2 linked regions of the Alligator mississippiensis genome follow. The protein of the gene in region 1 purifies or fractionates together with the protein of each later gene. This does not show direct contact. Links are inferred from orthologs where the notes say so. Each region holds a gene or a part of one and is shown on either strand. Other genes may lie near its edges.

Region 1 (16,600 bases):
AGGATGTGTTCCAAGGCATATCCACTTCCTTAGCTTTTGCTAAGATCAGCTATTTCTTGCTGTTTACTGAATTAAAAATTTCATCCATGGTAGAAAAAAAACCCTATTTGTCATGCCAGCTAGTGGGATGCCCTCACAGGAAAATTAAGCAGAATAATTTTTGTGGAAAATTATAATCTGTGCATAATTGCATAGATTTTCTTGTTTGCAGATAAGAGTCTATACCGGGGCCGGCAATTATTTCAGGCGGAGGGCTGCTTACTGGGTTTTGGCAAGCCATCGAGGGCCACGTGACAGGCAGCCAGGGGCAAATAAATATTAATTTTCTACATTTTGTAGGGGCCCCATGGGCCAGATAAAATGACCTGGTGGACCACATCCGGCCCGCCCTGGTCTCTACGGCGAACGCTCTCTCAAAATAGGTGGTACGGACTCTCTGTGACAAGCGAGCACTTTACAAGATAAGCACTTTATTAAATACTGCACACTTCAAATGCAAACTCAGACCTTTAACCCAAAGGACAAAGTATGCATGTAAAATCAGTAACTCTTGGCCTGCTCCAAGAACACACAGAGCTCTCCTGCTTCACGGGACACACTTGTATATTAATACTGTATAATGCAGGGGTGGCAGAGCCAGGGAGCCTGGAAAGAGAACAAATCTAGACAACAGAAGTCTACAATCTTTCTCCCCAGATGCTCCCCTTCACCCGACTGGTTTGGTTTTGCTTTGAGGAACACCACAGTTGTGCAAACCTCGACTGGTCCAGCAGATGAATAGAAGAGAGGATCAGGTTTTAATAAGACAGAGATGGAACAGGATAAGAAGTCAATAGATAATTAAGTAATTAAGATTAAACAGTGGCTTCCATTAGCATTTTTATGCCTATAGGGGTGTAGAAACCAGGAAAGAAAAACCCCAGGTTGCAAAGATGATGTGAAATAAACTGCAGGTTGGCTCAGAGACAGGGTAAACTTCAAATTGCACCGACTTAAAAGACTCCCTTTATCCATTTGCTTCTGAGAAGAGTGCCAGACACCACTGGTTTCTTACCCCAAACATTGCAATGCCTCCATGGTACTGGGGGGCTCTTGCTCCACCCTTCAGACACTGGCTCGCGAGTTTTTGTACAGCTCTTGCATCCTGCAAGAGCCCTTTTGCAGCGCAACTCCTCGTGCCAAGTGCCAGGCAGGCAGCCCCGAGCATCCCTCTCCTCTGCTTGCCACTTTGGCAGCAAAGAGACCTGCACAGCACCGCCCCCCGAGCAGCAAACCTAGGCACCCACCCCGCCGCTTGCACGTCTGGCTGTGCAGAAACCCGGGGAAGGGAGGGGAGGGGAGGGCAGGAAACTCACCGCACACCCGTGCCTCTTCCCTCCCTCAGCCTCAGCCTCAGCCTCAGCCTCAGCCCCCCGACCTGCCCAGCACAACGTTTCCGTTTCCGGCTTTGACATTAACTCACAATGTATCAGCCCATTTCCCCTTCCACGTGGGAGTGCCAGGGCACATGTGTTACCGTATTTCCCCCTTTGCCAAGCCCCTGGCGCGGCGCAGCCACTTCTCCGGGCGCTGCGGAAACTGACGTGTTGAAACTGACCAGGAGCGTGCTCGCTGCTCGGGGCTGGCCTTGAGGGGGGTTCTGCACACCGCTTTCACGCCTCCCTTCACCCGTGAGCCTGAACCAGGAACCGGGAAGAAAGTCCCCACAATAAGGAACCGGGAGCCAGGAATAAAGGATGCAAGAACTGGGAATAAAGTCCCCAGGAACCCAGAATAAGGATCCAGGAACCGGGAATAAAGGATCCAGGAACCGGGAATAAAGGATCCAGGAACTGGGAATAAAGGATCTAGGAACTGGGAATAAAGTTCCCAGAATAAGGATCCGGGAACTGGGAATTAAGGATCCAAGAACTGGGAATAAAGTCCCCAAAATAAGGAACCAGGAACCGGGAATAAAGGATCCAAGAACTGAGAATAAAGTCCCCAGAATAAGGATCCAGGAACTGGGAATTAAGGATCCAAGAACCGGGAATAAAGGATCCAGGAACTGAGAATAAAGTCCCCAGAATAAGGATCCAGGAACCAAGAATAAAGGATCCAGGAACTGGGAATAAAGTCCCTAAAATAAGGATCCAGGAACTGGGAATTAAGGATCCAAGAACCGGGAATAAAGGATCCAGGAACTGAGAATAAAGTCCCCAGAATAAGGATCCAGGAACCGGGAATAAAGGATCCAGGAACTGGGAATAAAGTCCCCAAAATAAGGATCCAGGAACCGGGAATAAAGGATCCAAGAACTGAGAATAAAGTCCCCAGAATAAGGATCCAGGAACTGGGAATTAAGGATCCAAGAACCGGAAATAAAGGATCTAGGAACTGGGAATAAAGTTCCCAGAATAAGGATCCAGGAACTGGGAATTAAGGATCCAAGAACTGGGAATAAAGTCCCCAAAATAAGGAACCAGGAACCGGGAATAAAGGATCCAAGAACTGAGAATAAAGTCCCCAGAATAAGGATCCAGGAACTGGAAATTAAGGATCCAAGAACCGGGAATAAAGGATCCAGGAACTGGGAATAAAGTCCCCAAAATAAGGATCCAGGAACCAGGAATAAGGGATCCAAGAATTCAGAATAAGGATCCAGGAACCAGGAATAAGGAACTGGGACCAAGGAACAAACTGGGAACAAGGAACCAACTTCAGGCTCGTCCTCCACCCAACAGTGGATTTTGCAATGGAAAATTGCTCGTGGAAAGCTTCTCCCTTTGGTGAAGGGGGAGTTTCTTTTCCCAGCTCTCTGCTTATGGGACAGTTTGCAAGGAGCTTCCTCCACCTCTGGGTTGGAAATTTCCCTTATACAGCCATAGAGAAATAGGGCTGGAAGGGACCTCCAGAAATCACATCTAGTCCAACCCTCTGCCTCAGGCAGGACGAGCCCTGTCCAAACATCCTCTATACTTTCATCATCACAACTGCAGTTGCACAAGTGGTGTGTGGCAGTCTGCAGCTTGGCTCTGTGGCTCATGAAGTTTGTCAAGTGTGAGACAACTCTGGGTCCCCTCCTCCAAACTCTTATCCTGTAGAGCAATTCATGGAGGTCAGTAGAGTTACGCCCGTGAGTAAGAGCTGGCAGAATCTGCTCCCCTGTGACACAGTCCGTGGGGGAAAACCATGACAGGATCACAGCAGGTGTAAAGAAAAAGTCCACAAACCACAGGGACTGTGGCCTCCAGCTTTGAATCAATTCATGTACATCCTGTCATGCTGCTGTCGGCAAAATATGTGCAGATGCAAAATGACTCAGCTTTTACTATTTCTTTTCTTTGTCTCTTATTTCACAGGCCGGGGGTTTCAATGATTCAGATTTCTAAACGACTAGGAAAGAGCTAAAAAATATTTTCAGGGGCATAACAAACTGCTCCCAGCTACTTTTAAAGACGTTTCAAACACAATCACACAGATTCAACTTAAATTAAGGGCAATAATATTTGTGTGAATTCTCCAGAAAAGTCTTTCTTCTGCTCCATTGACCCTGATCACATTAACAATATTTCTGCAAAGGGGAGGGCAAGAAATCCATAGGTTGGAGTCACTGGATTCCACAAAAAGTGCAATGTCAGGTACTTTGCTGTTGGGGTATTGTTTGCACGAGGAACTAGTGTACTGAGAGAACAAAGGCATATTTGTTCAACACACATCCTCAGGTATGCATTTCCTTATTTATACAATGAAGCTGAAAGGAAGGCTAACCTGACTGATATGTATGCAAATTTGAACTGTGGAGGTATGATCCTCCAAGGCAGCATTTGAATGGATCTTAAGAGAGCAGCATGTGGCGTTGTGTGTGTGTGTGAAATACCCCCATGCTTACTGCATTCCTGTCGCTACAGATGGCCAGGACTGAAGATCACACACAGCTGTAATTTTCTTCTCTAGATGTCCACATTTACAACTAAGTTACAAACTTTGAGGATTTGGAAAGCAGGTGGATTTAAAGATGAAATGCCAACAAATTCCTCACTGTACCAGGCCTGGAAGTGCGTGGTGGGGTCGTTCCACCCGTTTCTTTCTTCGTTGCAAATTGATGCAAACCTAGTAGAGTCTCAAGGTTAACCCCACTGGCTACTCATATAGGAGCACTTTTCCATGGAGCTTCCTATAGCTACAGGACTGAAAAAGCAGCAGCAAGATAGTGCAAAGGAAAAAAAAGAATGGAAAGAAAAGATAAAATAATGTTGAGGGCAGGGGAGGAAAGAGTGAAGTGGAAGAAAAGGAGATAAGCAAAGTGCCTGTCCTCCTGGAAACAGTAACTATGGACAGTTATTGCCAAGAAAATTGCTATTGGACACTATAGTATAGTATAGTATAGTATAGTATAGTATAGTATAGTATAGTATAGTACAGTAGAGGATACTTGAACATGTCAAAATAAATAAAAAATGTGACAATTAGAACACTATTCAATATGGAACAAAAAGGAAATAATTATATCCTTTTTTGTCAGAAGACGGCACATTTTTGTCATCAAAAGACTGTCATGACCCATACGATGATGATAAAAACGTAACATTGAGAGCGCATGGATAAAGAAAAGGAAAGGCCGTATGTTTTGATCTGAAAACACGACGATCACTTCAATTAAAGAAGGAAAAGCAAATGTGTGTTCAAAACCCGTGATTTCACCTGTTTTTACACTGAATTCCAGAGCTTCTACTTCTCATTCACAAAGCCCATCTTAGTAGGCCTAAATGGCTCAATTCGCTCTTGAGCGCATCAATTGAATAGGCACATCTACAGGCCTGAGAACCGTACAGCTTGGAAGACTTTCACCAGCAGAGCCCTGAGATGTCTATAGCCAAGCCAGGATTTTGCTCTTCTTTAACAAATAATTGGACCCTTAGATTTAAACGTGATGTCTTTGGGAAAGGGACTGTATCTTTGTATCTCTGTACTACCTGGTACAAAAGGCCCATTCCTGACTAGGGACTCTGGTAGCTAAAACCACTAAATAATAATTGGGATCCCTAGCAATAACTTTTGGGCTTAATTTTGTGTGTATTGGTGTAAAGCCCACAGATTCCTATTCTTCTCAATCACAGCGGTACCAGCCATCTCCTCCGTGCCAGCAAGTAAGCTCACTCTGCTGCCTCAAGGAGCTCAGAACAGGCTTCAGCTTGTCGTAGCAATGACATGCCCCCACCTAACAGTGAGGTAACCAGATCGCTGGAGAAGCACGCTCCTTTATCTGGAAATAGCAGCCACTGACAATGCAGCACTGGTTCCTTACCCAAAAACAAGCAAACCGCAAACCCCCGAAGCAGATGATGAAGAGACCGGCTTAGAAGGAAACGACAGAATACCACACACAACCTGAGGACACAGAGGTGTGAACGGAAAGGCAACGCTCAGAGCAAACGAGGGCAAATTGCACTGTGGCAGCTCCACACAAATGAGTAGACCCCGCGCTTGGAAGTGCACAGAAGAGAAGTAGCCCGAGAAAATTGCTCCTGATTTGTGCAAGGGGGGTTGATCCATGTTAGGGTGCAGCTACACTGCTAAGAGTTGCATCGTGTGTCAGCAATTCTTTCGCCACCGTTGAGACTGCCTGGCTTGCCACGTGCTAACCTAGACACATTTCCCTGGCCTATGTTTTCAGGAGGTTTCTACTGCGCGCTGCAGCCTCCAGGATCCTAAAGCACTTCAGAGGCGGCGTGCAAGCGAGTGCATTTTGTTTTTAACATTTAGAAAAATAAACTCAGTACCAAAAGACAGTCCTCGCTAAAACCGATCGGAACGAGTGTTCATCGGTGCACAAGAACACCACGCAACAGCGAGAATCGTAGCGGCTCACGCAGGCAGACGGCAGTGTTGCCAGACATACATATTGTATTTGTACACCACGTTCAACTCCTGCATGACAGATAATCATGAAAGAGGCCGAAATGTGCAATAATTCAGGGCAGATGCTCACCGTTTAAAGAAAATACTAACTTTCAAACAATTTTCCTTCTTCAGACAACCGTCTTTGTCCAGTCCCTCATACGCAGAGACTCAGGGGCACGTTATACACATGGCCGTGCCCAGGGTTCGATTTACAGGGGAGTTTGGGGGAAGGAGGGCTGAGCCCCCCATAAAAGACAAGACCCCCCCCCCCGGTAAGATTTTAAAATCAAAACTTGGGGAGTCTTCAGTTTTATTAGGGCATCATAATGGGCAGCCCAATTTTTTTTGCAGACCCCCCCAGAGTCAAAGTATAATTTGAACCCTGGCTGTGCCCCTATGGCTGTCAGTAAAATGACCAAAATATTTGCTATTTACAGATAAATGAGTCTGAATCTTAATGGTAAGGACTACAGAAATCCTTTGGCTGTGCAGGTTCTGAAATATTTGCAATATACGGCAATTTGGAGGTTCCAGTACAATCTACTTTTATCGTCTTCCAATATTGATTGACGTTTAAAAATGATGCCTTTTGATGGCTTCCTTTACGTGGCAAAATATTAATGTTTTAATACATGGTAAGTAAATGGCAGTGCAGCCCAGAAATAAACAGGCATTGCCAACTCCCATTAAAGCCAGTCTTACAACTGCTGAGATTGCCTCCAAGTATTTTCTCGCTCCACTCAATGCTGTGCCTAAACCGCACCACAAAAAAAGACCTTTGCATAACTCTCATGAAAGTTTCAGAAGTTGGATCATTAGTCCCGACAGCTCCTCCGTGTCCTATAAAGCAGCCAAAGTATTTCAATATTCTCTGCTAGGCAGCCAAGTCAAAGCTCAGAGATCGCCTTCATTGTTTAATTTTAACCCTGCATCACATGACTCGCCTTGCGCCGACCGCTGGAGCCGAATTCGTGAGAGCAGAGGCAAGAAACAGAGTACGGCTTACGTTTGCCTTCTAACGTTGCTAGCAGGGTGAAAGGGTTTTGCTCGTATACATGTGTGCACGTGTATAAATGTATGCATATATTTTGATATAGTCATGTATAAAAATAGATGTAGGCAGACAAGGTTATTTGGGTAAATGTGATATCTTTTATGAGACGGAGAACCTTGTCTGCCTATGTTCCTAGACCAACGCGGCTACTGCCAACACCCCCTCGACATGGTAATCCAGACTGTGCAAACATACATGTTTGGTAAAACATAGTGAATAAAGGAATAAATACATAAAAGATAGATAGATAGATAGATAGATAGATAGATAGATAGATAGATAGATAGATAGCCAACACCCCCAAACCATGGTAACATACATATATGGTATACATATATTACCATGGTTTGGGGGTGTTGGTAAATATATACATATTTAGTAAAACACGGTAAGTGTATATAACCATGTTTTGGGGGTGTTGGTGGGTAGATACACATACTTACACACACACATATACAACACATACACACATAATACACACACGTACACATACATGCACACACATGTACACACAATTCACATGCACACACACAATACATGCACACACGTACACACACGTGCACACACATAATTGACACGCATACACAATACACACACACATATATAATAATGCACATATATCACACACACGATACACACACATATGTACACACAATACATGCACGCACACATCTATATGCACACACAATGCAGACACGCATGCACGCACATCTATATGTACACACACAATACATATATGAACCATGAAACTGTATGCACACGCGATTCACACACGTATCACACGAGCGCACACACGCCCGGCCGGGGGCGCGGCGGGGTGTCCCGCTGCAGAGTGATGGGCGGGGCGAGGCGGGGCGGGGGCACGGCGCGTGGGAAGGGCAGGACCCGCCCCGCCCCGCCTCGCCCCGCGCCGCTCGCGAGAGCCGGGCGATATAAAGACGGAGCCCTCCCCGCTCCGCCCCGCTGCCTGCTGCGCTCCGTGCTGCGACGTACCGCTCCGCACTGCATCGTTCCGTGCTGCGCCGCACTGCATCGCTCCGCTCCGTTCGTCTGTCCGCCCGCCGGTGAGTGCAGCCCCGCTGCGGGCGGTGCTGATCCGGGCAGCTCTGCGTTTGTCTCCTGTGCAAAGCCGGGCCTTTAACAACGGGGGAAAAGGCCCGGCTTCGCGTGCGGGCCGCGATGCTTTGCCTCCAGCCTGACCCAGCCCCCCCTTCCCTCCCTCCCTCCCTGGTCCTGGGGCCCCGGCCCGGAGAAGAGCATCCCGCTCCTGCAGCGAGGAGACGAGCGCGGGGGAAGGGGGGCATCCCCACGGCCTCTCCTCTCCTCCCTGCGCCGGAGAACGGGCTGCAGAGAGGCGGGCGTGTGGGCTGGATGTTGGGAAACCTTTCTCCCGAAGAAGGCAGCGAGTCTGCTGGGAGAGTCTTCACGCTCACACTTGTATGCCAGGAGGTACATTGTTGTTGGGGCCGTCGCACTAAATGACCGCCCGGAGAGATGGCGGCATCTCCGTCCCGGGAGTTTAAGACCTAAAGCCCTGGCTGGGATGACGCAGCTGGGGATGGCCCTGCTTGTGAGCAGCGGGGTGGGCTAGATGTGACCTCCCTTCCAGTCCTCCTTGCCTTACGATTTTGCAAGGCTTGGCGCTCACGACACTGGTTTCCAGGCCGGGCAAACTGTTAGCCCAGGTGATGTTTAATCCTAACACTTCAGCCCGGGGCTCTGGCAGGGATGGAGCTGAACGTGTGGAAGAAGCAGCCCGGTTGCAGGGTGGGGTTGGCAGCTGGCAGGCCCGCTGGCTCTGGAGGACGGTGGGCACATGCCTTCCTGGGGGTTATGAAATGCCCTTCGTTCTTTGGTGAAGTTGTGGCCGTGCCGTGGGACCCACCTAGTCACCTGGGGTTAAATGATGGTTGAGAAACCTCTTGTCTAATTAAGAGATTTGCTGGATGGGGGGAGGATTAAACTGAACTACTGGAGTTGCAGCTTTTAAAGAACTGGCAGAACTAGAGACCGTGCCCATCTGCACTTTTTGTTTTTTTAAGTACTGCAAGAGGAAGTATAACTAAAAAAATCCTGAGATGTCTGCACACCCATCTGGTCAGGAAATGCTGTGGTTTTACCTGTTTGTTTTTAAAAATAATTTTAATATGGGAAGGTGGTGGATGTTATGGAGCAAGCAAATGTAGTGGGGAATGGTAACCAAGTTTCCTCGTTACAGTCTCAAGTGCGGCAGTTCCTAACGCCCAGTATAAAATCTTCCGCTTTCCTGGAGGAATATGTTAATGAAGTTTTTAGATTTTGCTTGTCTCTGAAATTAAGAGGCCTGGAGTCTTTGCTCTTAAATCCACGCAGAGCTGTATCCCTGGATACAAAACCTGCTTCTAGGCTGTTGTGTGTGGAGGCCCAACCATTGAACCTCTTGACCGGGTGGTTCAGCCTCTTCGAAGGCAATTATTTACCCAGGCCAAAATAAGTATGAAATACTTCTGAAATAAAAGGAAGACACTTTTAAAGAATTAAAACTTCCAGTTTTCCTTGGACTAAGAAAAGTTCTCTATTCTTACACACAAGTTTCTCTTTACCCTTAGTTTTGCCTCATTGATAATGCATTTGATAGGTTTCTTACTATGGCTCTGCAATGACATTAAACAGTTTGGTGAAGCTGGTACGCGCTTACCAGGATAGCACATGTTCATACTTGGATATTTTAGAGCAGGATGCCTTTGCTGCATTGCATAGTAGTGTCAAGTCTCTGCTTTTGCTAACATCCCATGGAAGTTGGTATCCCTCAAACTGGACTAGCTAATGTAAGACTTGCTCTTCCTAAGCCTAGCAAGTGTTATTTATGTGCTTCAAATCAATAGGACAATGGAGCCAGCGGTCAAGGTCTTGAACTGCTTATCAGGAAACGTGGAACAGAGAAACTTCCTTGTGACGCAGCGTGCGGATAGGATCAGGGTCCGTTATGCTGACACGGTGAATGTGGGAATTGCACTGTTGTTGGTGGAAGAGCAGATGGCTAGCTCTTTCTGCTCGTGCACTTGTGTTAGGACTCCAGATAACTTGCACCCCGCCGAAGTTCAAACACTAATGTTTCTGTGCCCTCGATAGGGAAGACTTCCCCCGAGACTACTTGAGTGAAGGGGGAATGCATGACTTGCTTTCACAAGCATCTCTGTATAGCTGCGTGGGCTGCACTTCTTCCGTGCTTCTGTACAAAGTATGAAATAAAGGAAACTGGAGGGAGCAGTTTGCTACTTGTCATGTCGGCTGAGCCTTTTGATGTCCAAGCTTTTTCTTTAAGAAAAGCTGTAGCAAACTAAACCACCAGTATTTTGTGCTTAGTAGGAACTGCTAAGAGATGACCAAAATCATGACTCTGACTCCCTTTAGACACTTAAGGGGAAGATGTGTCCAAGTTATGTTTGTGTCTCCATTTTAGCTCCTATCAAGATGTCTTCAGGGAACGCATTTATAGGGAAACCAGCTCCTGACTTCCAGGCTACAGCTGTAATGCCGGATGGGCAGTTCAAAGACATCAGGCTTTCTGACTATAAAGGTAAATTTGTAATTGTGATTGGGAGTGGGGATAAGGATGGCTCTTCTGCTTGGCTTAAATCTGTTTTAAATGCATTTCTGAAAACAAAGCTGCCTGTGATCCTTGAGACATTGAACTAGTTCAGTGGTTCTCGCCCCTCTTTTGTACTGGGACCCACATTTGATGCCCAGTCCCCAGTGTGTGGGGCAGGGGGGACCCCAGGCAGCCTCTCGCAGGCTGGAGCTCTGCCAATCTGCAAGGGAAAATGCAGTTTCCCATGTTGTTTTTCCATGTTAAATGGCTTCTCCTTTTGAAGTTTGTTCATGACCCTTTCATATTCTTGCAACCCACGTGTGGGTTGTGACCCCCGGGTTGAGAAACGGTGCCTTAGTTGAGGCACTCATGCTGTGAACAGTTCCAAGTGCAGACTGAAGCACGCTTCTGACACGGGAGCAGGCAAAGCCAACATCTCATTGCAGCAAATCTCATTAACCTCAAACGTTAATGAGCACTGAACTTGCCCTAAAGTTTAGGGTGGACTTTATTCGTGTTGCTTATTATCCTAGAGCAGAGCTGATGCAATGTCTCAAACACCATGGGAGAGCAAAACCAGGTCTCCAGTGACTTTATTTTTTTGGCAATGGAAGTATTGTAACTCTTCCAGGTCGCTAATGAAGAGACTTCTTTCTAGGACTCTAGAGAAAGTGACTACTTTGCAAAAGGTGGAGAAACCTAAAGCCTAAAACTGCAGTACTTTGTTTCCTATCTCTGCATTTTTTTTTTTTTTTTTTAAGCACATGAGAGCTCATGGAAACAATGTATCAATTAACTAATACATACAGTAAAACGTGGTTAATCAGTCACTGGAATAGCTCTAGACTATGGTCCTACTGGTGAACTGAATCTCTGCAGTAACCCTACTAATCTGTACACAATGCACTCGGGGCTGGATTAACCCTTTTATGGGCCCTAGGTGAACAAACTTGTGGGTTTGGGCTGGTCGAGATGTGCCCCCTGCCCCAACCCCGGTGCTCCCGCCCATGGGGAGTAAGGCTTGGACCTGCTGCCAGGGGTGGCGGCAAGGCCAGTGGAGGGGAAGAGAGGCAGATGGGGCCATTTGCATTGCTACGGCAGAGGAAAGGACCAGGCCCCCTTGCAGCTCAGGGCCCTAGGCTTGTGCCTAGCTTGCCTATGTGTTAATCCAGCCCTGACGACACTTAGACTCGTTCATTGTCTGTTAAAGCAATACATAGATGTATATCTATGCTTTAAGAGATGATGAATGAGTCTAAGTATGTACATCTATATATATAGAAGAGTGCTTAATGGTGCAGTTTTACTACAAAAGTTCAATGCTCACTACCCACGAGTCACATGATTGTGATGGCGTAAAATAATCGGACAAACTTCTTCTATCTTGGCAAGGAGTATAAAACAATTTTTTTTTCCTTCTGCAAGAAGGAATGATTAGGCACGTGGTCTTGCTGAGCTAAGAACAGTTGAAGCCTATTTAATACCTTGTGAGCATCAGCTGGCCCAACAATGCTATGGGGGAAGATGGTTGGTATAAAGGGTCCTGAGAGGGGTAGTTTGGTGTTAGTTTTGAAGTTGGGCAGAAGGCAGGGTAGATTAGCAACTTATTCACTAACTCTAGAGATGCATAAGCTTTAAGCAGCAGCTTGCTCTGAATGTAACGAAGCAAGCTGCTGCATCTCTGACTTGGGCTTATTTTATATATTAATCCCTTCCAACCTTGTTTTCTATGCTTCTAAATTTAGTCATCATTGCCAGCCCCCTTGGAGGGATGAATTGAATTGAACCAGTTTACTTCCACGAGCAGCAGCTAGTACAATTTAACTCGGACAGTGGTTTCGAGTATCCAGGGAATCAAGATCTTATCTGGATGCATATGGTGAAGCTTACAGCAGATGACTGAGCTGAGAAAAGAGCAGATGACCCTGCTTCAATGGCTGAGAGGGGAAGGGCCTTGGTCAGACTTATGGAGGTTTTTAAGCATTGCTAGCCTGCCCAGTGGACTCTTCAGCCCTTGGCTTCAGGCTTCCCATACAGCACATCATTATATGCCTAAGGAAGGAAACTTAGGAGCCAGACTGGTCAACTGGGAGCCATCTGAGCTAGTCAGGAGAGAAATATTGAGCAGACCAGAGAAAGGGGCAATGGGATTAGGTTCTTGGTGGATCTGTTATGTGAAGGTGCTGAGCAGAGGCACCTCCTCTACTCCAGGACACTAAACCTTTGCCTGAGGGCCAGGATAGCCAATATCTTCTTGGGGAAACCAAGACTGTTTCAACTGATGGCTCTTGCATGTGGACAGCCTGTGTCTCTCTTGGTGGCTTGCATTAAGCTGCCTTGCTATAGAAACCTGCAGGCAGCAAGTTTTGGTTATGTTCTGGATGTAACTACAGAGTCTGGTCCCATGCAGGCCTTTCCTCTTCCAGTGCTGAGAGCTTGCTTTGGGGCCCTAGTGTGAGCTACTGCTCTGAGCAGCTCTGAACCTGCATGCTGGCACACAGGCAGCCTTGTAAGTGCCAACTGGCAGGACTTGGGTTTTCTGGACTTACGGCAGCACTAAAGGTCAGTGGCACCTACCTGCTCAACTTGGATCTTCTTAGATCTATTTGGGCACATGGTTCTTAAAGGGTTGGGTTGGTTTTTCATCATTTTACCACTTACTTCACACTCAGGGCATCTTAACTAAGGAACTACAACTTGCCTAGAGAACAACTTTTGACTTTTTTCTCCTCTAGGAAAATACGTTGTGTTCTTCTTCTATCCGCTGGACTTCACCTTTGTTTGTCCAACTGAGATTATTGCATACAGTGACAGGTCTGATGAGTTTAAGAAAATCAACTGTGAAGTCATTGGAGCTTCTGTGGACTCTCATTTCTGCCACCTTGCATGGTAAGCATCAGTATTGTTACTTCAGGTCCGATACAAGGCTCTTCTGGCTGGAAGACTTGAGCAGGTGTCGTCTTGGGCATCTTCTTTTCTTTATCCTTCCTGTAGCTTACGCTAGTCTTCTCTGGAGAGCAATATAAAGCTCACAATTTAAATTTTACCTCTTCTGCTATATTCAAAGCTTAACTGAGGCTGGCCAGTGGAAATGATCCCAATGAAATGCATCTTATCAATTTATATGCCTCTTGGGTAGTGCATCAGTATGTTGGATTACTTTTTCCCAACACACACAATGTTAGTAGTAATAATCACTACATAGACTGGGGGTGGGCAAAATACAGCCTGGCTGTGGCCCACGGGGCCCCTAAAAAATTTAGGAAATTAATATTAATCTGCCCCTGGCTGCCTGTCATGCAGCCCTTGATGGCTTGTCAAAACTCGGTAAGTGGCCCTCCACCCAAAATAATTGCCCACCCATGACCGATCAACAGCATGCCGTGGTTTGGATACCCAACTGGTATGTTCCTGTTCCTGATCTGTTGCCTTTCCATCGCAGGGTCAACACTCCTAAGAAACAGGGTGGACTGGGCAGCATGAAAATCCCGCTCGTTTCTGATACAAAACGCACCATTGCTAAAGAGTATGGCGTACTAAAAGAAGATGAAGGCATTGCTTACAGGTAAGGCTGCTGGCCACAGTACCCTTCCATGAGATGTCAAACAGCGTGTGTTGAGTCATTTTGGCATTTTATATTACTCCACTTGGGACTTCATGTACTTGGAAAGAAATCTGTCAAATGAACACTGTTCACTTTAACTAACTTGCTTGCTAAACTGTTCTGTAGTCTTAAACCAATGCTTTTAGTAAGTAGATGTGCACGTGTTGGAAAGATCACGTGGTTCTTCTAAAAATATTTGGCTTCAATGGAAGTACCAGTACCTTGCCTAACCCATGTTGTTACTGGGTGCCATAATGATAGTTTCCATCCTTTGACTTCAGTGCTGGTGGGGGTGTTTTGTGGGTTTTTTGGAGGGTTTTTCTTGGCTAAGTATTCCTCTACTAGCAAAATTATTTTATTGTTGTTTGTACCCCCTGCCCTTGACATGTCCCTGCACATTCACTTCTCGGGCAGTGTTCACACTGTCGGCGTGCAACAACGCCATTACTCACCTTGCTTCAACTAATCAGAAGCTCCTCTGCCATTAAATTTTATGCCTGCATCCCTTCCTTGACAAAGTGCCACATAGCCCCGGGGTATTTGCGCTCCAGTTTGAAAACCACTGCTCGACTTGAGTTAGTTTTTTCATTCAGTATAGCATGCGGGAGTAAACCACAATGAAGCTGTAGCAAGACAAGTGATATGCATGCCTCCTAGGTCTAATTTATGTAGCAATTAGCTCGTCTAGTCTTCCATCTCTTTGACTATACGTGCCAAAAACAAATGCAGTTTCTTTACAGATCTGATGCTACATAGCTTGTGAAATCCTCTGGAAGTGCAGCGAGAGGTCTTTCAAAAGCATGTCCCGAACTGGCTTTAATGTCTCTAAACTTATCTTCTTTCTGCAGAGGTCTGTTTATCGTTGATGATAAGGGAATATTGCGTCAGATCACCATCAATGATCTCCCTGTTGGCCGCTCAGTCGATGAAACTCTCAGATTAGTTCAAGCGTTCCAGTTTACAGATAAACATGGAGAAGGTGAGAGGTCCCTCGAGGTTTTTCGGGTTTTTTTTGTGGTTTTTTTTTTTTGTTTGTTTGTTTTTGTTTTGTTTTTTTTCTGAAGGGTACCTAAAAATAGCCTCTTCTTTCTATAGAAGTGGAACTATTATAGCCAATGGGAAGAAAAACCCAATAGCCAGGACTTCCTGAAAACCCCTAGTGCTCTGCGACTAGAACTAGTCGGTGCACCAACCCCACGGCCATAGGGGAGCTGCTAGAAACTGTGCAGGTGTGGAAGTGCAAGGAATACACAAGATGCCGATCTGGCTTCAAAAGTAGCTTAGTGTAGACAACATCTCAGTCGGCCAGTATTCCTCTGTTAACAGGTGACTATAAAAGCACTCAAACAGGAATTGTCAAGACTAAAGTTGAATGAACAACCTAAATTTTGGCTGTCTAGGGTGTTCTTTGATGGTCTGGGTATCAACATGGGTAGAGCAGAACCAGTAACTAGTACAGAAGATTAATGCGCCGACTGCAACTTCAAAGTATTACAACCTGTGTGTTCATATAAAGAGTTTCTGAATTGCCAGCTCACTCCATCTTCTAAAACCAGTTCTGTGAGCTACTTCCAGAAGTCTGTGCTGAACACTGCTTGCTTGTCTTTCCAGTGTGTCCTGCTGGTTGGAAACCTGGGAGTGAGACTATCAAGCCTGACGTTCAGAAAAGCAAAGAGTTTTTCTCCAAGCAAAAGTAAACTGGCTGCATGCGCTTCTGTGTTAACTGGAGGAAACTAGTCTGCCTTCCACGTAAGAACAAAGTCATCAAGCCATTGAATGTTTGGACTTGGGTTAAATTGCTATATCCAAGTCAAGGGAAGTCCTGTCAAACAGCTGTAGATGTCAACCCATCTTCTGTACTTGAGGGGAAAACTAGTCCTATTGACCAGTAACTTTGTATAGAATCCTAATAATCTGTATTTGTACCTCATGTCCTAGTGACCTGTAATATGACCAGTGGAGTATAGATGTCTGGTCTGGTGTTACACTTAATACAGCTAAGTTTCCCGATTTCTGTAACTCCTATTAAACTCATAGGTTTAAAAGAAACACTTTTTTGTGTGCTCTCTTCTGAAACTTCAGACGGCTGCGGGATGTGAAGTAGTTTTGAAACAGCATGTCTGTTTTGATGGATTGTGGTGAAGGTAGAAATCAATGTTTTTAGAAGCAGTTTAAAAAGAGGTTTTGTAAAACAGGCAGAGCAATTCTTGGATAAAGTTTATAAAATGATCAAGTGCTTTTTTTTAAGACATGGGGGCTAGGGCTTCTTGGGAGGGTTTCCTCTCAGAAGTGGGAGACTTGCTAGTCTAAAGGCATTCACCCATTTTTAGTTGATCATGGATTATGCTGGGGGGAAAAAAAAACTCCCTGCAGCAGGGAGTCTGGTGTGGACTTGCCCCACCACTCATTTGGCTTGGGCCAAAAGACTGAGCACCACGGATCTAGATGGATCCCTATATCGGGGGGGGGGGGGTCCCATACAAATATT
Region 2 (16,647 bases), on another chromosome or scaffold:
AAGCGCTGCTGGAGATTCATTAAAGACACTACCAGTTTAAGAAAGTTAACTGCCACTGGCTTGAGATGCACAACATCTAAAGACCTAATACCAAAGGGCCAATTAAGCTGAGTTTAAAAGCCAAATCACAAAAGGCTTTAGTGTACAACAATGCCTTTTCTCCAACCCCTCCCCCCAACATGTGTGCTTAAGCTTGGGAAAAAGGTCCTGTGCTGGAAAGAAGGGCAAAGCTAGAGACACTGCATGCCATGCAGCTGTCAAGATGGCTACCACTTGCATTTGCTCAGAAAACTGAAGGTGCAGTCTTGTCAGCCCTCCCATAGCCATAGCTATCAGTCAAGTACTGCAGCTTCTGCCCAAAGCAGCAAGGGAGCCATTATCAGCATCTTGATGAGGCCCGTGCTGTAGAAACACATCATAATTTACAGAAGTTCCATAACGAACTACTTGCAACAAACAAGTAGTAGTCCTTCTACTGCCCTTTGCAAGGGTCTGGGGCCTAGCCTCATGCAACAAAGGAAAAATTCTAGTGCCATACTTTCTGGACACTGTTTCCACGAGGATTTACTGTGTCACAGTCTGCCATGATTCTGGAGAAGTCTCCCTCCACACTCCTTAACATTTTGCCTTCTGGAAGAGGAAGACGTGTTTTTGTTTGGGGGTTTGAGAGAAAATATGGTGCATCAGTTTGGTCGTTGTGAAAAATTGTTACTTCAGCCTCTCTACAAAGATGGACAGTAATCAATGGCTACCTTGACTTTTGTTTTATTACATGCTTCATAATGTTTCAGGAGAGTTACTACTGTAACTGGTAAATGCTAACCTATTGCAGTGGGTAGGCAGAGAAGTTGCACACAGCCAGCTGACAAACGTCTGGGTCCTGGGGCGAAAGTGAAGAGTGCCTAACTCTGACTAGTGAGGATTATGAACTGGGGCATACATTTCAGGTATTTCCCTGAAATGGCAACATGCCAGACAACTGTCCAGGACTCAACAGGTAGTTTGCTTTTTTTTTGGGGGGGGGGGGAGGGGGGTGGCTATTAAATGTTTGTTGGTTTTCGTTTTTTTAAGTATATTTTAGCAACCCATTACTCTTGGCTAGAAAATCTAGTCTCAGGATATATTAACTTCCTTGTGCTTTATTAGTTCAAAAGTCATCTGCATCATGGACAAGTAGGCTAGCTAGCAAGCTCTACAAAACATGAGCATCTTTAGTTTTGGAAGACTTTCCTGGTACAAAGCCAGATTCCATTCTTCTTCCTCCCTACCCCCAAAAGATCATGCAAAGCAATTATCTAAATTTTAAGATAATTTTAAGATTCTAAGCCTTTCTAGGCCTAAACATAGCTACTATTGATCTGGGTTCAGATCAAGGATTTCAGCATCCAGTGCTCTCCTTCCCTGGGCTACTTTCCCCACACCTGCTCCACCAGGAATGTGGAAACTTACCCGCTTGCCGTTCTTGTAGAACAGGAATGTCGGCATGCATTTGATTTGACAATGTTCAGCAACATCCTAGAAGAGAGGAAGTTTCACTGGAATCTTAAGATATAAAACTTTAGTTACAGCTAGAAAGCAGTCTGTCTAAAAACTGCTAGAGGACAGACTGGAGCCAAGCATGTACTTGCTACCAAGTAAAGCGGTACATTCCAGTGGAGTCTACTAGTCAGCTAAAAGCTATAGTCTCCTCATCTTTTCTAGATTTAGAGCAGTGGCTCTTAAGTTGTAAAGAGGCACCCCTCAGAATCAAGGCACACCTCCAAGTTTATCCAAATTGAGCAGTACCCCCATTTCAGAGACTTACAGTGCTTTCCTCTTTGCAAAGGAGCCAGGTAATAGGGGCAGGAGAGTGTCCAGGCAGGCAAAGCCAGAGCCTGCCCTTATCCACTTATCTCCTTGCACTTTCTGCAGCACCCTTCAGACGATCTCACTCACTGAAGTATAAGCACTAGTTCTAGTTTCCTCTGGGGGACTGTTTGACAAACCCAGGATTTTAGAGTCCACACAGCTACTAGGAAGCCTCATTGTGTCAGGTCCCATTCCAAGCAAGTTGTGAGGATGTACTCCACCGATAGGTTGAGCTACCAAATTCCAAGAAGTGTTCCTGCTAAAGAAGTTGTTGCTCAAGTGTGTCCGAGGCCAGAAGGAGAATCCTTAAACACTGAAGCTTACGGCAGTGCGTTCATTATTTCAATTATGTGTCTCAGCCAATCAAATTTAACTGGTGCAATAACAGGAAAAGAAATTCCTGCCATTAGGGGCAGTTGGGACACAACCCTTGGGTAAGCTCTTGCTTAACAGCAAGGGGAATGGATACAAGAGAAAGTTTGAGAAATATGTATTCTTTGGCAGAGGTCAGGTGAGACTCAACAACATAGGTATTTAGTGCCCTTTCAAGTGATTGCATGACAGCCAATTAATGCACACCATTACCTTGTAAAAAAAAAAAAAAAAAGCCTCAAGAAAGCTCCCCATCTAAGGGCACCACCCACAACAATGCCAAACATCTGGTAACATTAGAAGCTAATCCTATGTGTAAAAACATAGAACTGCTCCTGCCAAAACAGCATAGATTATTTTTTCCAGTATCATGTCTTGGCTATGAAGTTAACTTGCAAGCTAGAGTGCCTGCCTGTCGTATGTGCACTTGTCAGACTGCATACTTGACAGACTAATGTTGTTTACAGCAGTTCAAATATCAGAACATGTACTGTAAGAACTCTCTCAACATGTAATCTTACCAAATGAGGATTTCTCATGTTGATACAATTAAAAAAAAAAAAAAAGCTGAAGCCATGCAGCATTCCTACTCTATTTTCCCCACTAAAGAACATTTCTAAATTTAATAGATATTGGCAAAAAAACAGCTGTCAGGGAGAAGCAGGGATAAGTTAGACAATCCTAACAGAGTACAGCAGCAAGGAGAAAGTTGAATTTACATTGGCTCTTGAACTCACAATCCCTGAAAGTGATTGTACTCCGTTTCAGAGCAGTAGCTAGACAACTTGCCTGCCTTTTGACATGCCATCAGTTTATTTGTACTGAAGTCAAAAAGGAAACAGTACTGGTCCAGTAATGCCAAAGTTCATGGGAAGATTAAGTGATCAAGGCCTGAGCATGGCAGGCTCTATGAGTGCTGTTACACTTGTAAGGGCCAAGCAAATTTTAGCTGATTTACCAGGACTGAAGACTTGCTATCTTAAAGTGTAAATCTGAGTTTTCAGTCCTGGTAAAGCAGCTAAAGTCATCTTGTTAGCACCTTTCTTCCCTATGCCTGCAGTGAAGACTATGGAGTCTGCCAGACAGTAGTACAAAGCCAGATTGATTAAAGTTCAAATGCACAAGTATAAGTCCACTATAATAATTTAACATTTCCCCAGTAGGACATAAGACACCCCCACTCTTGAAAGGTCAGTCAGTCCTTAGCTTTCTTGCTCTGTAAAGCTAAGAAAATACGAGAGCAAGAGTAACACTACCCATTTTCAGCAAACAAAGTATTACACTGCATGTTAAAATCTAGTTCTATTGTCAGGAGTTATATGACCAATAGTATTATTTTTTCCACTGTATTAATTCAAGACCTTACCTGAGCATCATCCACATCAACCTCCAGGAATACTACATTATTATATTTTTCCACAAGTTCCTAAAATTTAAATACCAAAGATTAGTGTTCTAGCTGCAGCTTTATTACCCTCCCCCCCAAGCTTTGTGTCATTTTGGGGAAAGACTAATTTCCCCTCCCTCCCCACTTAAAAAAAAAAAATGAAGTCCCATTTCCATTAGTGCTATTTTACTAGCTGGAATTCTGGTCTCCAGAGTTCAGTTAACAGTATAGTGTCAGTGATGGTCACCAAAGCATCCATGACTTTACTTTTCCATCTCCAATCGGAACGGATTAGGAGGAGGATTTTATTTGGGCATTCCCTGCTCTGCCTCCAAATCATTAAGTCTCACAACAACTTGCTCTGGAAATATTATGATGGCTATAGGGACACACAAATATTAAGCTTTAGAACCTTCCAGACACAGGCAGGTCAGTTGAGGATTTATAGCTGTACACATATTCTTCTCTAGTTTGATCTAGTTTGCAAGATAGTAGTCTCCCTACTACTGAACTGCTTTTAAAGTTAACATTGTATTCCTTTTTTCTTCTTTTGAGCAAGAGTGCTTAATTGGATTATTCTTGAGACAGTCCATCTCCATTTCAAAAAGGGAATGGATCCAAACTTAATACAGTAGAGCTGCTTTGCTTTTCCATGTGCATTTACAATTTTGCAGATTGGGAAAGCGTATAATCCAGTACCCTGTCAGAATACTGTGTTGAAGCCAGGGAGCATGTAGGGCCACACAAACAGCCACACTGCAGTTGCTGCTGGCCCTACAGATCTGGCCCAGAAGTACACCCTGCAGTATTGATTCAGTCCAAGGCCTTGGACAAGTTTGACACCACTGTCTTAGGGGAAATCAAAATGCAAGGTACTTATTCTAGATTTGAACAGCTACCCAGACCATATAGCAATATAAAACATTGATATCATTTTAGCCTTAATTACAATTTCAGAGTGACATCAGTATTTCAGATGGGCTTCTGAAGGCAGCCGATGCAAGACTCTGGTATCAAATAGAACAGGTTTATTTACATTCTCTGGACCCTGTATTTGCCACAGTGCAGTTAAAAGAAAGTCTCACTGATGCATGTTCTTTAAAATTATTCCATGTAAAATGGCTTAAAAACCATCTACCATGTCAGGGATGTGGTTACAAACTGCACAAAGGTCTTCTTGACTATGTCAGCTGGGGACTTGTCAGACCTCTCATAATGAAGTAGTTTTGAAGCACTACATTAGTTTTTTTACCATTGAAAAAAATCAGTGAAGTGAGTATTGTTTGCCAGTTACTTACATGGAAAAAAGGCTTGATCATTTTGCACGGTCCACACCATGTAGCAGAGAAGTCAATAACTACAAGTTTATCACCAGCTGCCTTCAATTCAGTCTCAAGTTCAGCCTGGGGGGGGGCAGGGAAGAATAAGAGAATAAAAATTAAAAACATTAAGTTCAATTCCTACAAGTGAATACAAGTCATTTGCCTCTTGACGACCAGCGTGCTCTTGAGCTTAAGAATTCTTTTTAGAGCAGCTGAGAGTTCATTATGAAGAAAGAAGTAGTGTCAACATTTTGTACAAATGCAAAATAAGACATTTACCTCATCCACAATGAGAATCAGTTTAACAATAAAATGTTTTTGTAACTAATTTAATACCTTTTACTAACAGAAGAGTAGACATGCCACCTAGAGTTTTACTTTTGTTCAGATTAAGTCCCAGGAAATAATGATGTCTTCTTAAATGTCTCTTATGTTATGCTGTATTGGAATACAAGTCTAACTTTAATTCAAATTTCCATTAACACATCTAGTACATGTTTAACTAATAGGGCAACACAATTTTAAGTGTGCTGATATACAAGAAAAGTGTTTAGCAAAATATGCTTTGCATAAAATGTCAAAAATGGGGGAGGTAAAGTGTTATCTTCAGTTAGTGAATTAACTTGGCTACCACATCAAGGTATTAGAACTTGTAGCTTTCCATTCTCCACATTTAGCTTTTATTAAAGTGGGGGTGGGAAAGAGAAGTCTCCTGCATTTAAAGTTCAATAAATTTGTGTCTCAGCTTTGAAAGAAATTAAAATTAAAGGAACTAGCTGGTCCAAGACAATATCACACGAAGAAGATGGTTTAGTACTAAAGTGTGATGCCAGATGTTTAGCAAACAGTTTTCAGTCTTAAGTGAAAGTACATTATTTGCTCCTAAAAAGTATTCAAGTGATTTTAATTCCATAAATTTAAGCCTTAAATGCAGTTTGAAGCTGGCAACCTTATTTAAAAACTGGAAGCCAATATGAACTAAATGTAAGCACTATCATCAATTCTGAAGAAGTTCCCACCACTCGTCCAATTAAAAAAAAAAAAAAAAAGGTGACTAAACTCGGAGTCAAGCCATTTTCCCCACCAAATTATAATGGCAGACATGGTGTCTTGGCAGAAACTGCAGCCAATCAAAAGATGCCACTTTAGGCTCTAGACTTGAGTTATAGTACATGTTCCTGATAAATAATGCATACAGGTTACCAGTAGAGGAAAAAGTACAAGTGGTCAGGCTTCATCAGACAGATCTAACAAGTTAAGCAGGGCTTCCCCCCCATGCCGCTCTTTTTATACACTGACAAGTTCAGAGCCTAAGTGAACTCCTTTATTCTAGGCAATCTGGTATAATCCAAGCAAAAACACAGACTTCCTGTATCAGAGATTCTTTTTGTACACCAGATCTTTCCACACAGCTATTCCTGAAAGTGCAATTTTAAATGCACCACAATCTAGCTCTTTGATCATACAGTATTTTAAAGCACTGACCTTGTATACCAGAGTAATAGGTATCTACATCAGTGCCCTGATAATACACAGTTCAAACTGATATAAGTAATCAGAGTCATAACTGTGCAAGTTATTGTATATGCATGCCAACTGATGCTCTTGAGTAACTATGCACAGGAAAGCAAGTTTCTTCACCACTCCCTTTAGCCCAGGGAGTCAAACTCATCTGGCTTCCCTCACCCTTTTGTCCCTGACCCTCTGGCCCCATCTCAGCATACCTGTTGCAGCAGCTGCTCCAGCTTGTCCAGGACCTGCACTTTCTGCAGCTCAGATCCTAGCGCAGCTGGAATAAGTGATTTGTGTGGCATGCATGGTCCAGTCAGAGCCGTAGGGATAGCCACCCCAGGCTAGGCACTGCATGCAGCACCTGCTTCAGCCTGTCTAGGATCTGGCCTGCACATTGCACCTTGCTGGCACAGGCTGGGTATACACTGCATGCAGTGCAGCTGCCACTTTGGCCAGACTGTGCCATACCCAGCATGCATTCTGGGATCTGCACTGAATGCAGCTTGGGTCACAGACCAGCTGGAACATCTGCTGGATCAGGTATGCTGGGGGAGGAAAGGAAGTCCATGGGCCCAGTCCAGCCCCATACCATGGGAAACCAGACCCACATGGGGCATCAGACACAGGGGCAGCACTGGGGCCAAATAGCAGGGGCCACAGTATATTTAATACCCACCCCTGCTTTTGCCTTCTCTACATCTTCAGGCATTACTAGTGTACATTTACCGGGGCAGAAGACAGCTTACTCAGTGCATTCCTTTAGACTGAGATGCGAGTGTATGGGTGAACGAAGTTTAGCTAACCAGCTAGTGGAATTAGCAACCATCCTGCATCTTCATCTACCAGTTTCCTTCTGGTCCCAAATCAAAAGCCCTTTAATGCCAGTTACCTGCTGGCATGGGTGGCCCTTAACTCCATACTCAGATGCATAACAGCGAGTAAGTAGCTTGCCATGTGACCAGAGGATGACTCATGTACTAGGACCCAGTTCCACTAGTCAGAGGTTATGATGTAAATTAGAGAATGTCAACTACAAAGACTGGAGGATTAAATTTGTCTTTTATAGCTGGGAGCAGAGGGGGATTTTTCCTCTCTGCCCCAATTAGAGCAGTGCAGGAGGCCTTACAGAGTAGGAGCAAGTGCCAGGAGGAATTTAATCTAGAGCACTAATCATGCAGCAACTCTGGCTGCTAACATTAGCTGTGCTTGCATTTTTCTGAATTATGATTTATTTCATGTGACACTTGCCAAGATCAAGCCAAAAGCTTCTGCTGTTTCAGAACCAAATCCTCACCTTCCCCCCCAAGATGCGCCGCCCTGCCTTCCCTCCCACACCTGAGCCCACAGCAAGGAGCTCCCGCCTGGAAGCTCCCACAGCTCCAAGATCATTAGGATTACTAAAACAGACTGCCTCGTGCTGCACCAGCCTACACTACTGTCTTTATGCAAGGAAAAATAAGAGCCTTGCTCTCCCTAATCCTCAGGGAAGAGCAGGACAGTTATTCAGTGAGCCCAAGAGCCCTCAGAGCATGCTTTTTAAAAAGAAAGAAAAAAAGGAAATTTTTAAGAAAAAACGGGACTAGTCTACATAGTAGGTAGAAAAATGGAGGCAGAAAATGAGACTGAAGATCAGTCAGGGGGAGGAGAGAAGCTCAGGCGACCCGCCCTGCAGCTGGGGGGGGGGGAACGAAGGTGTGTGGAGAGGGTGACTTTTTCCCAATGGGGGGGGAGGGAGCCTTTTTCAGGAAAAGGCGGACATGCGTGTCCACCCTTTTCCGCCCCAGCCCCCTTTCTCCTGCCCCGCCTTCAGCCAGCACTGCCTGCGAGGCGCCCCCCGACGGGAACGAGCCGAGCTGCCCGCAGCGCCTCCCCCCCCGCAGCGGTCGCTCACCAGGCTCCCCAGGCTCTTCACCATCGTGCCGCCTGCTCGCTCGCTCGCGCACACTCTGCCGACTGCTAACGTGAAACGGGCACCTATAGCCAGCCGCCCGCCCGGCCGTCAGCTTATATAGGCCGGTGAGGAGGAGGCGTGGCCAGATGGGCGCATGCGCGGCTCAGCCAGTCGTCTTCCCGGCCCTTATTTTTTTTTGGTCCAGGGAGCCGGAAGCAGGGGTGGGGTGTAGTTTAGCGCATGCGTGCAGGGGTTGTTCTCATTCTCCCTTGCTGTACGCGACAGGGTAACAAGGTTGGAAAAAAAAGAAAAAAGGCTTCCCTGGGGGTGGGGAGCTAGGGAATCCCTTTCCCCAGTAAAGGGAGAGATCTGCCAGGAAATCCCGAGTGCCCCCGTGCCGCCTGCATGGGGCTGGCAGGGGTCAGGACAGCCCCTGTCCGCGCCCTGGTGCCGTCTGGCCCACTGGGCCCTCACATTTGGTGGCAGGGCAGTGGTGCAAGGGTTAATGCCCACGTTTCAGGACCCGCGGGGAGCCCCTCTGCGCCAGCTCAGGTGATTTGGGTATCTGGGGCTGCCAGAGGCCGCTGGAGCAGAGCAGGGGCACGTGCAGGGGCTGGCTGAGGGGCAGAGCAGAGGTCTGGTCCAGCAGCATGGGGACTGGGTGCATCCGGCCCCAGTCGTGGCAGTGGGTGGGTCTGATCTGGCCCGCAGACTGGCCACACACCTCCTGGCCAGCAGAAGCACCAGGTTGAGCACTGCGGTCCTACACGCTTGGGCCTCTGCCCCGCGGGAGAAACAGGCCCAGCACAGCAGTCTTACAGACCTCTCCTGGAGAGCTGCTTATTGATGCAGTTGGGTGGCGAACGTGCACAGACGGAGCCGGTGTGCAGTAACACTGGGTGACGTGGCCCCAGGCAATTCTCCTGGTTGCCTGCCCACTAACCAGTTCTCTGCATGCACACATAGTTAAGTGAGGCAATGACTGAAACACGTTGGCAAAGCTGAAAGACGGCCCTGAGAGGAGGACAGCCCCCAAATCCGAAGGAGACATGAAAATTAGATACCATGCAAAAATGGCCTTTTTCCCCAAAAAATATGTAGATGTTTTATAGGATGTTCAAAGCTCAACATTTTCTGTCTTTTGACTGGGAATAAATGGGTTTCAGGTGCTTATTTTTCAACTGACATTCTGTTTGTCTATGGAAAGCAGGTATGAGCACAGATAGATGCTTTTCACGAAGAATTGTGTTTAGGCAAAGCTGTGGTTTTCTATTGAAAAACTGAGCCACGATAAGAATTTGAGCAGCCTTGATCAGAGCTTTCTAGTACTCCAAAATGTACATGTACACACCAGAACAACAAAACACACATAATGTATTGAACATCTGCAATATTTACAGTGCCCCAAAAACTTCCAAGTGCACACAGAGCTCTAAAATTACAGAACACAAGGGTGTTTGAGAAAATAATAGTGCTTTTAAAATAAAACCATTTTGTGTACAATGATCACCTACTGGACAACATCACTTCTCTACATAGTTGTAAACGTTGGGTGCCTTTGACAACACTATCAGTGTGCCCTGCTGCTGTGTACTTTCCCACTCATTGCATAGAAAGTGGGTTTATTTGAAAAATGCTGTTTCTTTCTGGAGCACCCTCATACAAACGTACTAACTATCACAAAACATCATCCCCCAAATTTTCACAACTCCTGAAATCCTCAAATTTATGGTTTGTTGAAAGCACAACACACATCCGTTGCACTAAAAGGTAATACACAATCTTTCATACACAAAGATGAAATAATGATGAAAATGCTGACATATACAATGTGCCAACCTGATGCTTGTGCTGCTTAGAATAATCTGAATGAATAAATAAAAGACCCATCAGAAGCCACAAAATAATCAAAGTATAAATATTATGTCACAATACATACTGCACTAAAGAAGGGAAGACCTTGGCCAGAGACAAACTGCAGATAAACGTTCAGAGAAATATAGGGCACTCTACACATGTGCATTTACTGCTCAGTAATGGAAATTACTGCACAGTATGGACACAACTCATTTACTGCACAGTATGGGCATGCATATGTCAAGTTGTGTCTGTACTGCGCAGTACATGTGGTAATTTATGCCAATTTGAATGTAAATTTGATACCTGCAAATTTACACCCAATTTGTTACTGCACAGTAACGCAGATGTAGATGTCTTACTGCACAGTAACACTGTGTGTGTGGACTGACTTGGTACTAACTAGTCCCAAGTCAGTCTACATACAGTGTTAATGCATACTATAATGCCCACACATGTAGATGCCGGCCTATTCTGGTTTACTGTGTAGTAAATTTAAGCCAGTATAAATGCATGTGTAGACATGCCCATAATCATGCAAATCCCAAACTGTGGCACTGTCATAGGTATGTTTATGCTGTCTGTAAAGCAGTGGTTCTCAACCATTTTAGACTGCAAACTAGAAGTGACCGTGGACCAGCATAATGGAGACTGGAAATGACCAGTATACTGTGGATTGGCAGCCAACCTTTTTTTATACTGAGTATATACTCAGTATAAAAAAGGGTTGGCTGCCAGTCTGCAGTATGCTGATCACTTCTGGACTTCCGATCCAGCAGCCAACCCTCCTGCGGACCGGCAGCCACCCTTTGTGACCCAGTACCAGGCCATGGCCCGGGGGTTGGGAACCTCTGCCGTTAAGGAAACCAAGCAAAATAAAGAACACTGAGGTTTGAATAAAAATACTTTATGTAATAAGAAAGAAGTGCAAATGCACTCTGACTTGTAGGAAAATTGAAAACAGATGTTAAGATAAATAAAAGGAATTTCCACCATATTCTATGACAGATCTGGGTGGGAAAAGAGGTGAATAGGTAAGGCTTTTTTAAAATGTTGCCTCTAAATCTTCTTCTGATTAAATAGAGAAACAGCCTTGTATATGCGATGTTGTGGTATTAGTCACAGCTGTGGGCGTGCCTAAGCTCTCTTAATGAGTCCTCGGTTTTCCTCAGAGACTCTGGGAAAAAATGCTGTGTAATGATGAGGGGGAAGTATTTCTGTGCTGTGTAATGATGAACAGAAAACACGCATAGTCCCTTCCCCCAGAACTGCTTTCCCTCCTCCTTCTCTGTTTCCTTACCAGCTTTTCATTGTTGATACTGGAGCTTGTGAAGTGACGTAAAATTATTTATAGCTTGTATAAATAGAAAAGGTTCAGCTAGTTTATGTTAGTTTAGCAGCTCCAACTATTATACTTCCTGAAATTATGAAACTTTGAGTGGTCACGTATCATAAGTTAAATTTACTCTGGTTATATATTTAAAATCTTATATATATTTAAAATAACACTAATAGTTTTACAGTGATCACCCTTAAAAAGTTTCACCAGTTTGAAAGATTTGCTGGATCCAGACATATTCCTTATATTTGCATGAAAATTTCCATTAGTAGTTTCCAGATCAGATGCAACTCTGCATGAAACTTTCTTTTTCTGGTACCTTTTGGTGTATTTTATATATTTTGGGGCTCATCACCTGTATTTCAGTGTTTGCTCTGTAGTTAAAAATTCTGGAGTAAATTAAACCTCATTGTGATAATAAGGGGCAAAAACTGTGTTCAGTTCTTATACAGCATGGCGTGTTCCAGTGCAGGCAGTTAGCACCTTTCGTCAAGCTTCAGGAAATTCCCAGGGTCAGAAGTCTCTATCAGGTAGGCTCAGAGGGCATCCATACACATGCTCCAGGGGTGGGGTGGAGCAAGCCTTCTAATTAAATTGCCGAGAGTGTCTCGTGTATCAGCATCTCCAAGCTTCAAAATAGAGGTGGTGGCGTTCTATATAAAGTTTGTTTGACGAGCTTTAGATAAAGCACCCCCGCTGCCATTTTGAAGCACGGGATGTTGATACACATGATGCGGAAGCTGGCTGGAGTGCAGTAATTATGGGGTTGCCAACCTTTCAGGATTGTCCTGGAGTCTCCAGGAATTAGATATAAACCTCCAGGATACTGCTGAGAGTCACCCAGAAGATAAATGATAGGGCATTCATTAAAATAAATATTAAATGTTGAATCTAGTATATATATAGTAATCCAGTGGGTTTTTAAAATGTAATTGTAATGTGCATTTGCCTTCCTGATGTAAAGTCTACACTAATCTTTAACTGATATATGCAAGCATGCAGGCACGTTCGCTCTGTCTCTCACGGGCACGTTGGAATTCTGGAAACACCCCAGAATAGATTCAGAATTGGCAACCCTAGGTAATTACTACTTTTTTTGGTTTTTTAAAAATTAAAATCTATATCTATAACTATATCATAGACTTCCATCGCACCTTTTTTTTAGAACCACCTTAAGAAAGCCGTGCACCTGTTACAATAACTGCACCTGCTCCCCTGTGCTCACACCCACCCACCCTCTGCCCTTCCCTAACCTAAACACAGTCCCTTTGTCCAGGCTCTGACTTGGGGTTTCCCTCCTCAGTTCATTCTCTGTCCTCATCGGTGTAGATGCCGCTGTCGCTTCCACTGTTGCTGATCCTGTTGTCCTCTTCACTATCTCCAGGTCCAGTTGTGTCATTGTCCCCTTCGTTCTCCCTATCCACTTCCCTTCCTGGGAGGACTTTGAACAGCCTATGTATGCCATGTGTCCCTTTTCCAGGTGGAGTTGGCTGCATCTTCTCCCACCACTTTCTGGTAGTAGGACTGGAGTTCGTTCAGAAACATTTTAACACAATCCGTTTGCTCGAACTTAGTGTGACTGTACATCAGGAGGTTCCTGCATTGCCACAGGGCACTCCTGATGCAGGATACAAACTGGTCAAAGTGGGTTGTCTGGGACCCCTGATGTTTAGTTAGGTGTCTGTACAGCGCTGCCTCCCCTGTCATCAACCTGACTCCTGTCACTTCCTCAAGGAGCTGGCTTACCTTTTTCCACACTCCCTTGGCATAGGGGCAGAGCCAAAGGAGGTGGTCGATGGTCTCATTCTCACTTTGGTAGCTTCCCCTGGGGCAGTTTGTTTCTAGACTCTCGTCTCGCTCTGCGCCTCCACACCTTCCCTGGGAGTACACCATGAGCTATGAGCCAGTTCAGGTCTCTGTGGTGTTTTCTTAGGTCTTTGTGGAAGAGCTGGTCTTAGATGGCCTGACAGTAGTCATCATGGAGCAGCTCCATGGTCTTGCCTTCTGTATCTTCCTGTGGTTGAACATGGTCTCTGGGCTTTCCTTCGGTAGCTCATACTCGCTCCAGAACTCGTTCAGCACACTGTAGAACCAGGGGCTCTCCATGGTGCACGGACTCCCTCTGGCTGGTGCATGCACCCAGCACGGTCTCGGGAGATGACCTGTAAAATACTTGACAAGACAGGCTGTTTTGGTTGCTGGCCGAGTTGCCAGCTTGCAGATCTGTCTTGTGTACCTTGCCAACAGGAACACATGGATGTCAGGCATCCCCCTGCCCCTGGCCCATTTCTTCTTGTACAGGGTCTTACTTGCCACCTTCTCCATTCTGGATCCCCAGAAAAAGATGCACGTGACTCTCTGGATTCTGTGGGTGACACACTTGTGTGTAGGGAAGACCAGTGCGGTGTACAGAAGCACTGGTAGCAACACTGCTTTCATGAGTGCCACATGCCCCCCATGGAGAGGCAGCGCATGTGCCACAGACCCAATTTCTGCTTCACTTTGTCCTCCTTCTTCTCCCAGGCCCTCCTTTCACTCAGCTCAGGATCAAACTCCACCCTGAGGATCTTTGCCCCCTCATGGGGGACTGAGATCCCAGGGACTCCAGATCCCTGAGCTCGCCCATAGCCAGGCAGGTACTCTTGCTCACTTTAAGGTTGGCCCCTTCTGCTGCCTTGTAGACCCATGTGTACCTCCGGGCTCTCTCTACAGCACACTTATTCCAGAACAAGATGTTCAGATCATCCATGTAGGCCAGGACCTTGGTTTCTTCTTTGCTTCCTCCAAAAATCGGGACTCCATGCATCCTGGGGTCCTGCCTGATGTGGTGGGCCAGGGGTTCAATGGTGCTGATAAAAAGGATTGGGGAGAGCGGGCGGCCCTGGTGGAAGTAATTGCTGTGCTCCAGCTGACTCAATCAAGTCTGCTCTGACACACTGTAATTACAGTGTGCCAAAGCAGCTTCCTCCCTCGTCTGTAGGCACCCAGGGTTACTGTACTTCATAGTAACACACCCACACCTTTCCAGCAAAGGAACAAAGTCCCCCTCTCTGAAATTTCTGAAGTAATAGGTGGTGTCCTAGGGGACTAGCCAGGCTGTGCTCTGACTGCTGTCAGTTTTCAAAGCATTCCTTTGTGTTCAGGCCAATTGACAGGCGTTCCTCAAGGGAATGATGCTTCAGGCACAAAAGGGGACCATCCTAGTGCACATAAAGGGAGGCAAAACAGCCAAAAACCCTCTTGGCTGAGCGGGGAAATCCAGGAGAGCCTAGAGGGAAAAGAGAGGCATACAGACTGTGGAAGCAGCAGGTAGCCACCAAGGAGGAGTATACCTGCTTGGCTCGCACTTGCAGGGAAGCAGTGAGGAAGGCCAAAGCAGAAATGGAACTCAGGCCGGCAACAAAAATTAAAGACAACAAAAAGTCCTTCTTCAGGCATATAGGGAGCAAAAAGAAGGCGCATGGACCCCTACAGGACCCCTACAGGACAGACTAGGGCAATTGGTAACAGATAGGAGGAACTGCAGGGAGTTGGTAAGGAAGACCAAGGCAACTCTAGAAGTTAGGCTAGCATCAGGGATTAAGGACAATAAAAAGTCCTTCTTTAGGTAAGTTGGGAGCAAAAAGAGGGGGCGGGGTAGCATAGAACCCATACAGGATGGGCAGGGGGGCTTAGTGACGGATAGCAGGGACAAGGCAGAGCTCTTCAATGAGTTTTTTGCCTCTGTCTTCTTAAATAGGAATCTAGACGAACCCTCAACATACATCACGGACACCAACAAAGGGAACATCAGCCAACCGGCAGTCAGTGCCAACACGGTAAAAAGACACTTGGAGGGACTGGATGTATTCAAATCACCAGGACCAGAAAGACTCCACCCATGGGTAATGAAGGAATTAGCAGGGGTCATAGCTGATCAACTGGCAAGGATATATGAGCGTTCCACTCATGGTGCTCGAGTCAGGTTCCGGAGGATTGGAAGAGGGCCAATGTCATCCCAATCTTTAAGAGGGGGAGGAAGGAGGACCCAGGGAACTATAGACCAGTCAGCCTTACCTCTATCCCTGGGAAAGTCCTAGAAAAAATGATCAAGGAGCACATCTGTGGGAGCCTGCTGGCTAATGTGATGTGGAGGGGTAACCAACATGGGTTTTTAGCAGGTAGGTCCTGCCTGACTAACCTAGTTTCCTTTTATGACAAGGCCACCAATTTTTTAGATGCAGGAGTCGAGGTGGATGTTATCTATCTGGACTTCAAGAAGACCTTTAACAAGGTATCCCATACCATCCTTATAAATAAACTGAGGGGATTTGCCTTGTCTAAATTAATGGATGACACCAAATAATAGGGCAAAGTAAACAGTGGAGAGTAAGGAGCGGATTCAGGCAGATTTGGACAGGTTGGGAATGTGGGCAGAAAAATAGGATGCAATTTAACAAAGATAAGTGCAAAGTGCTGCATCTAGAGAAAAAGGATCACCAACACACCTACAGACTGGGAAGTGACTTTGTAAGCAGCACAGCAGCAGCACTACTGTTGCTGCCTTGTACCGAAGCAACCTTGTGTACCAGCCAGCCTCTCTGCAGCACACTGAGCTGGGGATTTAGCCCTGGGCTGCCAGGATGACCTCCTGGGTCCCCTGCCATTTGGGGATGCTCCAACCCGACTTAACATGCTGTGATCCCAGGTGCATGTGGAATGTGTGTCTGGGAGCAATGAACTCTGGTGTGCTAAGTACCAGAGTTTATTGCATCACATTAATGTGCACATGTAGATATGCCTACTGAGGACTAAAATAAAGGGAAGCCTGGAAGGTGGTATAAAGCCTCTCTTTTCCTTCCACTTGGTGCTGAACAGCTTTCAGTCAGAATCAGGCCTCATCTTTCAGCAATTCATGTAACTTACTAGAGAATATAGGGAAACTGAAACTCAGATTCAATTTCAAGGACATGCAGCACTGCCATGCCTGCAGTCCTTGACATCATATTAATGGTTACAATCCTACTAGGTTAACACACACTTAACTTCTAGGCAAGCTTTAACAGTTCTGGGTGGCTAGAGGGTTAGTTCTCTGGATGTAAGTGAACTGAGAGGACTGTCTTTGGCTTATGGGTATTCT

Evidence for each region.
Region 2: the proteins of PRDX1 (region 1) and thioredoxin purify together in Homo sapiens (affinity purification with western blotting; 3 studies listed by BioGRID, with this or other methods). This does not show direct contact. The link is inferred for Alligator mississippiensis from reciprocal best matches to the Homo sapiens genes PRDX1 and TXN.

Annotation. Positions count from the first base shown.
Region 1 is NC_081828.1:2,599,604-2,616,203, reverse strand, and holds PRDX1 (peroxiredoxin-1), read left to right. Parts: upstream 1-7,891; 5' UTR 7,892-8,001; intron 8,002-10,379; 5' UTR 10,380-10,390; coding exon 10,391-10,496; intron 10,497-13,243; coding exon 13,244-13,397; intron 13,398-13,950; coding exon 13,951-14,073; intron 14,074-14,960; coding exon 14,961-15,091; intron 15,092-15,723; coding exon 15,724-15,809; 3' UTR 15,810-16,161; downstream 16,162-16,600. Other genes in the region: AKR1A1 (aldo-keto reductase family 1 member A1), read right to left, coding at 1,055-1,207. UniProt on the Homo sapiens protein: Thiol-specific peroxidase that catalyzes the reduction of hydrogen peroxide and organic hydroperoxides to water and alcohols, respectively.
Region 2 is NC_081826.1:165,821,932-165,838,578, forward strand, and holds the start of thioredoxin, read right to left. Parts: upstream 8,445-16,647; 5' UTR 8,357-8,444; coding exon 8,333-8,356; intron 5,011-8,332; coding exon 4,906-5,010; intron 3,647-4,905; coding exon 3,587-3,646; intron 1,516-3,586; coding exon 1,450-1,515; intron 1-1,449. UniProt on the Homo sapiens protein: Participates in various redox reactions through the reversible oxidation of its active center dithiol to a disulfide and catalyzes dithiol-disulfide exchange reactions.